2 linked regions of the Caenorhabditis elegans genome follow. Changing the gene in region 1 together with any one later gene gives a genetic interaction. Each region holds a gene or a part of one and is shown on either strand. Other genes may lie near its edges.

What was found.
Region 2: of fath-1 (region 1) and daf-12, changing one suppresses a phenotype caused by changing the other (phenotypic suppression), as found in Caenorhabditis elegans (one study listed by BioGRID).

Annotation. Positions count from the first base shown.
Region 1 is NC_003279.8:10,175,502-10,179,474, forward strand, and holds fath-1 (Fatty acid 2-hydroxylase), read left to right. Parts: upstream 1-1,679; 5' UTR 1,680-1,687; coding exon 1,688-1,789; intron 1,790-1,841; coding exon 1,842-1,976; intron 1,977-2,024; coding exon 2,025-2,128; intron 2,129-2,175; coding exon 2,176-2,562; intron 2,563-2,610; coding exon 2,611-2,768; intron 2,769-3,008; coding exon 3,009-3,073; 3' UTR 3,074-3,414; downstream 3,415-3,973. Other genes in the region: nola-3 (Putative H/ACA ribonucleoprotein complex subunit 3), read left to right, coding at 3,541-3,735; C25A1.16 (uncharacterized protein), read left to right, coding at 3,737-3,817, 3,866-3,973.
Region 2 is NC_003284.9:10,642,452-10,647,571, forward strand, and holds the start of daf-12 (Nuclear hormone receptor family member daf-12), read left to right. Parts: upstream 1-1,988; coding exon 1,989-2,099; intron 2,100-3,386; coding exon 3,387-3,446; intron 3,447-5,120. UniProt on the Caenorhabditis elegans protein: Nuclear receptor which binds directly to response elements in target gene promoters. Activity is modulated by binding of steroid hormone ligands that include dafachronic acids.

The DNA of each region.
Region 1 (3,973 bases):
CCATTGTTTGCCCCCGTTTCTGACGAAGAGCCCGTGCACATACATAGGCTCGCACTCTCATTCCGCACATTTTATCTCGTTGAATTCAATTCAATTAGGTCACTTGCTCTAGTTTGCTCTTTCAATCTCTACTCTTTTAACCCGGGTGCTATGATACTTTAAATCAAACTTCCATCACCTTCCATATAGATTAACTCTTCAGATTCCACACTAACATCCTTAAAAATTACAAAAATATTTAAATGCTCCAGAATGACATCCTGGACAATTTTTGAATATTTCATCCTCAGCGTCTGCCATCTCCGCTTAAATAGGAAAAGGCTCACACAATTTGCAAATATATATTTATAAAGGCTCGGTTTATTTGAGATGGCACATTTTTCATTAAGTATTCGTACCAACGGGCACAATTGTGCCCGATTTGTGTCTAGAAAAACTAGGAAAATCGTGGGAAAATGACAGTTTGTTTGCCAGAAAACTCTTCAGTCTTCTATATAATCGTAGTTGTGGTAGTTCCAAAACTTGTGTTTTCATATATTTTAACTCGTATTTTAACTGCTGCAAGATTTCTAAATTAAATTATATTAAACCGAGAAATTTCGAAGCTCAGAAACTATGATTACTTGAGGCAGATATGTCTCAATTGTTCCAATGTTTTTAACTAGACTCAGGCCAACACAAAGACCAAGTGCAACATATCAAAATTACACATTTGATGTCCAATGCACATGTTTCAAATTTGCTCAGAAACCCTTCACCTTCATCTCCTGCTCCACCACCCACCTCTCTTGTGTCGGCTCTCTCCTATGCTATTATATGTATGTGCTCTGAATCCCTTGCAGAATTCATGTAATACTATGTTTTCCCGTTTCGTCTACTTGCTTCCCTTTTCTTTCGGTGTTGATTTACCTAATTAAATGAGAACCTACGTGCATTTCCTGCTCCGACTCAGAGAGAGAGAGAAATTATTCAATATAGCAATGTAGCAGAGATTTTTATTCTATTTTCAGTTGTTTTCAAGTATTTCCAGCTATCAATCATCACTTTTCTGAAGCAGGTGAATACTGAAAAACAATCCATTCTGCAATCTCGTTATACCTTTTTTGATTCGAACAGCTCCTTCACTCGTGATATTATGAGGACGCAGAAACATGATACGCTCCGCCCCCAAACCATGGGTCTCGTTAGGTATTTGACGGAAAAACCTTCAATCGAAACGTTTTAATAGTGTTTTTCGTTTTTTTATTATGTTGTTTTTAAAGATTTTGATGCTGAAATTCTGACATGAATTTTTAGTCAAATGAAACAACATTAATTTCTTAAACAAGAAATCTTTAAAATCAACTTAAAACATAACAAAAATTTTTTAATATGAAACTAATTGAAAAACGTCTGAATTAATGAGTTCTGCCGCCAACTTCCTACCGAGACCCATGGCCCGGAGGCGGCGCGCTTTGCACTTCAATTTGAATAGGTATTTTTTCTGCGTCCCCATAATATACCCTAACCTCAATTCATATGGCTGCTTTTCTTGACCGGAAAATGACGTTTTCTGGTGAATGTGCTCATTTCCTTTTGCTACTTATTTTTCTACTATGAGATCATGATCATATTGCTTTCCCCGTTTCATATTTTCTATATTTATAACGTTTCGTAATTTATAATTTTCTATATTTCAGTGGAAAATATGGGGATAGGAGCAGATGAGAAGAAGCCGTTGCTAGTACAACTCGACGGGCAATATTATGACATTGCTGATTTTGCGCCTAAACATCCGGGAGGTGCCAAGGTAACTTTTTTTCAAGTTTTAGGATATTTTACTAATCTCAAACTTTTTATAGGTTCTGAATCGTTTGGCTGGAGAAGAAATTGGAGAATTTATCAGAGGAGAAAAAAGGATAATGGGTGTACGTCATGAGCACTCGGAAGCCGCTTATAATATGCTCGAGAGATATAATGTGAATGCAATTCAAAAAGTTCGTTCCTTCCATCAAATCTAATTATTAATATTTCTAAAATTCTAGGGTGATCCATTGATTGAGTCTAAATCCGGAATGCTTTTCAAAGTTGGATCTCTTGGCTCTGAATATTGGCATTGGATTCATCAACCATATGATGGAACTTTAAGGTATTGATGATCTCGACTTTTCAATGCAAATTTTCACTTTTTTTCAGACTTTTCGATTCGGATGTGTTGGAAAGCATGACAAGAACAGCTTGGTGGGTGGTCCCTGCTGTTTGGATGCCGATCGTCATTACTTTTTCTATCCTCTCAGTGCTCTCATTTTCAACATCCACCGATGTTTATAACTCGATTCTCCTGTGGTCTGCCTGGTTCGTCATTGGAGTTTTGACATGGACTCTCACTGAATACAGTCTTCATCGATGGGTTTTCCATTGGAAGCCGTCTCCAGATTCGCCGAATCAGATTCTTCTTCATTTCTTGGCTCATGGACTTCACCATAAAACACCGATGGACGGAGACCGCCTTGTGTTCCCTCCGGTTCCAGCTACTTTGATTGTTGGAATTTTCTATTTAATCTACTCCAATACCTTCCAATGGTCAGTATTAAACCTTTCCTGGTTCCCATATTCAGTTAATCGTTTTAGGCCAGTGTTTTGCGCGTTTGGCGCTGGAAAGTTATTTGGATATGTAACCTACGATATGGTACACTATTATTTACATCACGGAAGTCCTCGTCCACGCAGCAATTTACATTTTAGAAAAGTATATCATCATAATCACCACTTCAAAAACTTTGACGTCGGTAAGTTACATTTAACGGGATTTTGTTTAAAAATCAATTTTTAATTTGTTATTTTTAAGTCAAGAACATTAAAAACTGTTTTTTAATTGAGATTTTCTATAATCTGCAAATTGTCGTGAAATATAATGTTCTCTGACGGAAAATTACACAGATTTGCGATGGAGCGCGTTTGCACTTTCATTTTCGCAATCGAAATTTTTCTATCATTTTCCCTATTTCAGGCCTATTTTCATTTTTCAGGCTTCGGAATTTCGACTTCTCTTTGGGATTATGTTTTCCACACACTCGGAATGGGCCCATTATAATAATACATAGATGTTTTTTCGGAAAATTTGTTGTTTATTGAGTGAACTCTGCCTCACGTTTTTTATCTCTAAGTCTCTTGTCCCGATTCACTTTTCTCACGATCCACTATACCCGTTGTACATATATATTTATCGATTTACCTTTTCTTTTCTCGTACGCCAGATTAGTTCAACTTGTTTTCACATTTTATCTATATAGATCAGCTACTCAGCACGTGCCTATTATCCTCACTTCTTACCGGTTTCCATCAAACATTTTGTGATATTCCTTCTTGTTTTGTTTTCTTTCTGTTATGCGTGAAATTTGGAATAATTTTTAAAAATATCTAATGAAATCACCCCTTCATTCTTTCTCGCTAATTCTTTTTTTCGTTGCAATGCGCCGTATTTATTTCATATTTCTCTATAGTTTCAGAAGTTTTAGAAATCATTGATAGTTTCAGAACTCAGTCTACTTTCAACGGACAATGTTCTTGAGATACTTCTTGGACGAGAACCAACAAAGAGTGTACACTTTGAAGAGAACTGCTCCATCTGGAGAGCAAACTCTTACCGCTCATCCAGCTCGCTTTTCGCCGGAAGACAAGAACTCCAAATATCGCATCATCATCAAGAAGCGCTTCGGACTCTTGCCAACCCAGAAGGCAAAGACCGTTTGCTAAAATGCTGGTTTGGGAGTGGCGCCGCATGTTGCGGCAAAAAATCCGCTCTTTCACCCCCAATAAACCTATCAATTATCAACAGGTAATTTACAAATCTCGCATTTTTCCAAACGATATTTTATAATTTCAGGTGTCTCGTCGTCGTATCATCGTCTCTTTTGTTCTTTTCTTCGTTGGATGGAAAGCTTTTGGTTATACTCTCAACGATATGTTCCTTTGGACTGTCGATGAGCAAACT
Region 2 (5,120 bases), on another chromosome or scaffold:
ATGTTCGCAGTGCAGTGGTTCTCGTTTTTCGTTTCGTTTCTCTCACTCTTCCTATCTTTTTTACTTAGTTTCCCTATCCGCGACAGTCTGATCCTTTGGTTTTTATTGCCCGTTTAGAACTTATTTTAATTAATTATCCTCTTTATTTTCAATGTTTTGTTTTGTTTGAACTATTAATGACCATTACTCTTTCTAAAGTGCACCCTATTGCGTATTTTAAAAATTTTTTCTTGCAACATACCCACCCTAATGCTCGTTTCGCCTTCCCACATTTTTTCCACCATTTCTGCGTCTCATTTTCTTGCGTGGGCATCCGCGGTCCCTCTTTGCCCGGCGCCTCTTGGATTTTGCTTTTTCTTTTTTTCCCTGGATGTTGCGTCTAGTTTTATCTGAAATGACCTTTAGGCACATTGCTAATCGTATTTCATTTTTTGGTTCCTCAAATTATTTTTTTTGAAAATAATTTTATTTGTCTGATAAGTGATCTTAAATGTAACTGATATTTTTTTAAAGTTGGATTCAAAATGAAAACATTTTCTAAAAATGGTTTTTTCAATTTAATTTTATTTAGTATTTCAGTACTTTCCTTTTTCCATTAATCAGTTGAATAGGAGATGTAATTTTTATTAAGTTTAATTTTACATTTTGTATTAAACTTATTCAAAAATAATTAATTTTTTTCCCTAAGTTAGTCAAAAATATTTTTTAAAACTTTTTTAATACTTTTGAGATAAATTTTTAGATTTTTTATTTCACTTTCGTGATTGTTCCATTTTGCAACATTATTCTGCATCAAAATACATTTTGAAAACATTGAAAGTTCTTCAAATGCCGCAACTCGATTTTATTTTAATTTCATCAATTTTCTTGGCCGAATATCAAATTTCTATCTGAAAATTAACTCAATCTTTTTGTTTTTGACTCAGAATTGAGTGCACCACAACTTATTTTTCAATTTCTTACATTCTCTAAAACCTTTTTTTGTTCGTTCCGTGCTGTTTTATTTCAATATTTCACCAGAAATGCATATTCTTCTCAGTAGGTGCAGTTTCATGTGTTGAGTGAATGAGACCACGACATTTTTTACAATTGTTCCGCTTTTTCCCTCCCCATATGCCATCTCAAATCCAAATTTCAAATGCCTTCCTCTCCAGCTTCTCATCTTTCCAATTTAGCAATTTTTCACGTCAAAATGAAACGAATCAGATTTTTGGTGCTAAGCATTAGGATTTGATGAAACAAACACACTATAATCAGAAGTGACAGATTTTCAATTAAATTTTTAGAGATAAATACATAATTTATCAATTTATGCGTGCCAGCAAAAAGGCAGAAATAGTATGAACAGCAGAGTCTACTTGAGACTAAATCTTAGTTCTACTCATCAACCAAGCGGATGAAAACATGATAATGAAAATGTACTTTTATTTCAGTTTAAATTGTAGATATCCACGCACCAGTTAACCCAGTTATCTGGTTTGTTTGTTTTTTTTTTGCTGGTCGTCAAGAACAACTTTCGATGTAGATAACTTTACCGAGCTTCATTCATCAAAAAACATTTTTTTCCCAATTTTTCGTTACAAGTTATAACTGTATATAATATCTAATCAAAAAGAAAAACTTATTTTATAGAGAAAGTTTTGACGAGATCTGTTTTGCCTAATCGAGATGTTTCAATTTTACAAAACTTTGCTCGCAATCAGTAGATATGTTTAAAATTAGCAGTAGCAAAATTTTTTTTTTTCGACTGTTCCACGCAAAAAAAAAAATCACAGCAGAAAAATGACAAAGTATTCACAAATAACGACCTCCCGTCCCCGTTCTTGTGTCTCTTCCGATCTTTTCTTTTGTGGCTGTTGATCACCAGTGTGTACTTTGGAAACTTATTCCTTGCTATTCCATGTTGCTCAAAATCTTGCTTTACTTGCTTTACAAAAACATAATGAAAATTTTTCAGCGCACATTTCGGCGCAACGGGCGCCAATTAAATGGGCACAAATGGAGGAGTCATTGCGGAACAGTCAATGGAAATCGAAACAAATGAAAACCCAGATAAGGTAGAGGAGCCCGTCGTGAGAAGGAAACGAGTAACCCGCAGGGTAAGTGATTTCTAAAATCTCACGGCTTTAAAAAATTGTATACCGAGAAGAGCCAGTACAAACTGTGTAAAGCAATCAAAAATGTGAAAATTAGTATAAATCGGCAAAAAGGTGAACAAATTGGATATTTACAAGTTATTTATAACAAACTTAAAGTTGAAACCGTATTTATAATTTTTTTCTCATCAGCTAAACAGAAGACCAAAGTATCAATAAAAGCTTGTGGGAATAGATGCAGAATAGTCTTGTAGAAATGACCTTTTTTGCAAAATATATTGCATCATTTTCACAAGAATGTGTTAACATTTATGTTTAAACCTCAGTTATTTTGTAGAAGTTTCGAACAAATGGTATTGAAATTTTCTTAGAGTTGATACTCATCAATTTTATTTAGTCTTAACTTACAAAGCCACTTCAAGCCTATCTACTGGTGTCAGTAAAAAAACACAAAATATGTAGTAACGGCATATCATGGTAGAACAATTTTCAAAATGTTCTCAATTTCATATTTGGTTTGAAAACTGAAAAATTCGACCATTCTGGTACAATCGGCATTATGAAACAATGTCCTCTCTGCAGCTATTTCCCCTTTTCCACTCAAAAATGTGTCGGAAATAAAATCTTACTTTCTAAAGTATTCGTAGAGCTTAAACGTTTAACTGTTATAAGTAACACATAAATATGTCTGCTTCTTTCTCAAAGAACAGCACTGATTTTAGAACGTTGACATGTCATCTTCGGCGGTCTGTGTCTAAATGTTCGATTTGTAGCGATAAGCGTTAGAGTGGCCAATATTTTCTGAGAACAAAAAGGAGTCATATTCTTATCATCTCTTTTCGTGCGTTTTCTATCTTTTGTGTAACCGTACCCTCCCACCACTTGTTAGCAGCAACATTTATTCTCTCTGAATTTCTACATCAAAAGTGCAATTTGGGGGAGTTGAAAACTGTTCGACCCTCCCAGCGCCGAAATCGACGGCTATCTTAACGGGGCGCCGAGATGAAGTAGGCAAAACAGATCATTGCAACAACACATACAATCGCCATCTATACTCTCACAGTGCCATGTATAGTAACTCTTTCCACAATTTCCACAAACTTCCATTCTATCCAACTCCATATTACTTTTCTGCTGTTTCTTACGAAACTCCTATTCAAACGTCAAAAACTCCGGGTTCAGCAAGTGTAATTGATGTTGAAAAGATTGACGACGATGATAAATCGTCAAGCCCAGCAAGTGTAATTAAAAATATCATAAATAATATTTAAATAATTTTTTTTATTTCAGCGCCACAGGCGGATACACAGCAAGAATAACTGCTTGACACCTCCAAACAGCGATGACGACGTTAGTTTGTTATTATGTTTTTTCAATCAGGTTAGATTATTATGACTTGACTCAACCATTGCACCAAGATGAAACTTTTTGTTGTTTTTGTGGTTGGCGGTAGTATTCTATAACTTTAAATTGCTAAACGATTTTCTTTTCTTCAATCAAGAATCTTATTGGATTTGAATTATTGGAGCTACATATATTTTCAGTTCATTGAATTTAATGCTCTATATTTTTGTGTGTATTCAGAAAACATGGTGTTAACAAATGAATATAATAACACTCTAAAGGACATTTAGTTATCAAACTTTAATTCAGTTTTAGAAATTTGTAATAAGCTTCTATTATAAGTTCAAAAAGTTCCATTCTGATCCGATCCTTCTTCTTATTGATTGTTTCTCATCAATTAGTCTTCATCTCTTTTTCGAAGTTCGGCGTATGTTTTGTGCAGCGTTAAACTCACGCCATTTTGCTGACGGGGAATTGTTTAGAAGTGAGTGGAGAGGAAAGAAGAACTGATGTTCTTGAGTGTGATGTGCTCTCAACATTCGAGAAAATGATGAGAGAAATTTCATGTGTTGAAGATACAAAATGCGCTCAAGATAATGGTGGACTTTTACTTCTACATCTAAACGCTTTTTCAATGAAACCTGTACTGGAAAAATTCGAAAGGAAAAATTCTGGAAAAGTCGTTCAGCTTTTACGATACCTGAAATAAATGAACTCATAGTGAGCTCTAGTTGAAATTATTCGGACCAACTAGGTCTGAAACAAAGAAGCTGTATTCTTGCCAACAACGATCAAAGTTTAAAGTCCAGTGTCATCATCGTCATCTTCAATATCTCAATTTTCATCTTCAAACAATCAACCTATCCACAACCTGTTCGGAACGCCAAACTACGGTAATCAGCGCCGGTGTTTTGATAAAGCGATAAGCATAAGTGCTCACACTTACTTCTTACTTACAATTAAATTCGCTTCCTTTTTGGGCCGTTCCAAGGTCAAACGGTGAAACACACGCACCGTACATATACACAGGACGCACTGAAGTTTTTGCTACTGCTGCCTGTTGTGTCGTCGTTCGGCCCCGATTTTTTTAAGTGTGTGTGTTCCATATTACCGCAAAAACTTGGGACCACGCCTCTCACAACACCTACTTTCTCAATTATTCCGAAAACAACAATGAAGTGCTGATGATACCATTCTACTATATACTTCCGGACGTCTATACTTCATTCCGAACACAAAAATCAAAAAATGACACTCGAAGCAAATGTGGCGGCACTTTCGAAATTCATGTCATTCGACAAAATGCTTGCAGCATTACGGGTGAGTAAACGTGAAGATTATTCAAATTGCCTTGAACAATCCAGAACAAGTAACCGTTTTTGACTCATTATTGTAACACTTTTTCTCAATCTTAAATGTTCAAACGTTCAAGTGTTCTTTTAGTTTGCAATTCCCACAAGTTTGGACATGTAGTTGTAAAATGTCAGTCACGCTTTTTCAAAATTATTCAATTAGTGCTCACGAGAATCAGTGAGCACCACCACATGATCTCCTTACACTCATCTCCTTTATTTTTTGATTATCTTTTTTTTTTTGTTTGTTTTCAGTGTATCACTAAAATAGTTTAGTTTTTTAGAATAATGTACAGTTTATAAGAAGTTCCAATATTCTTTGAATCGT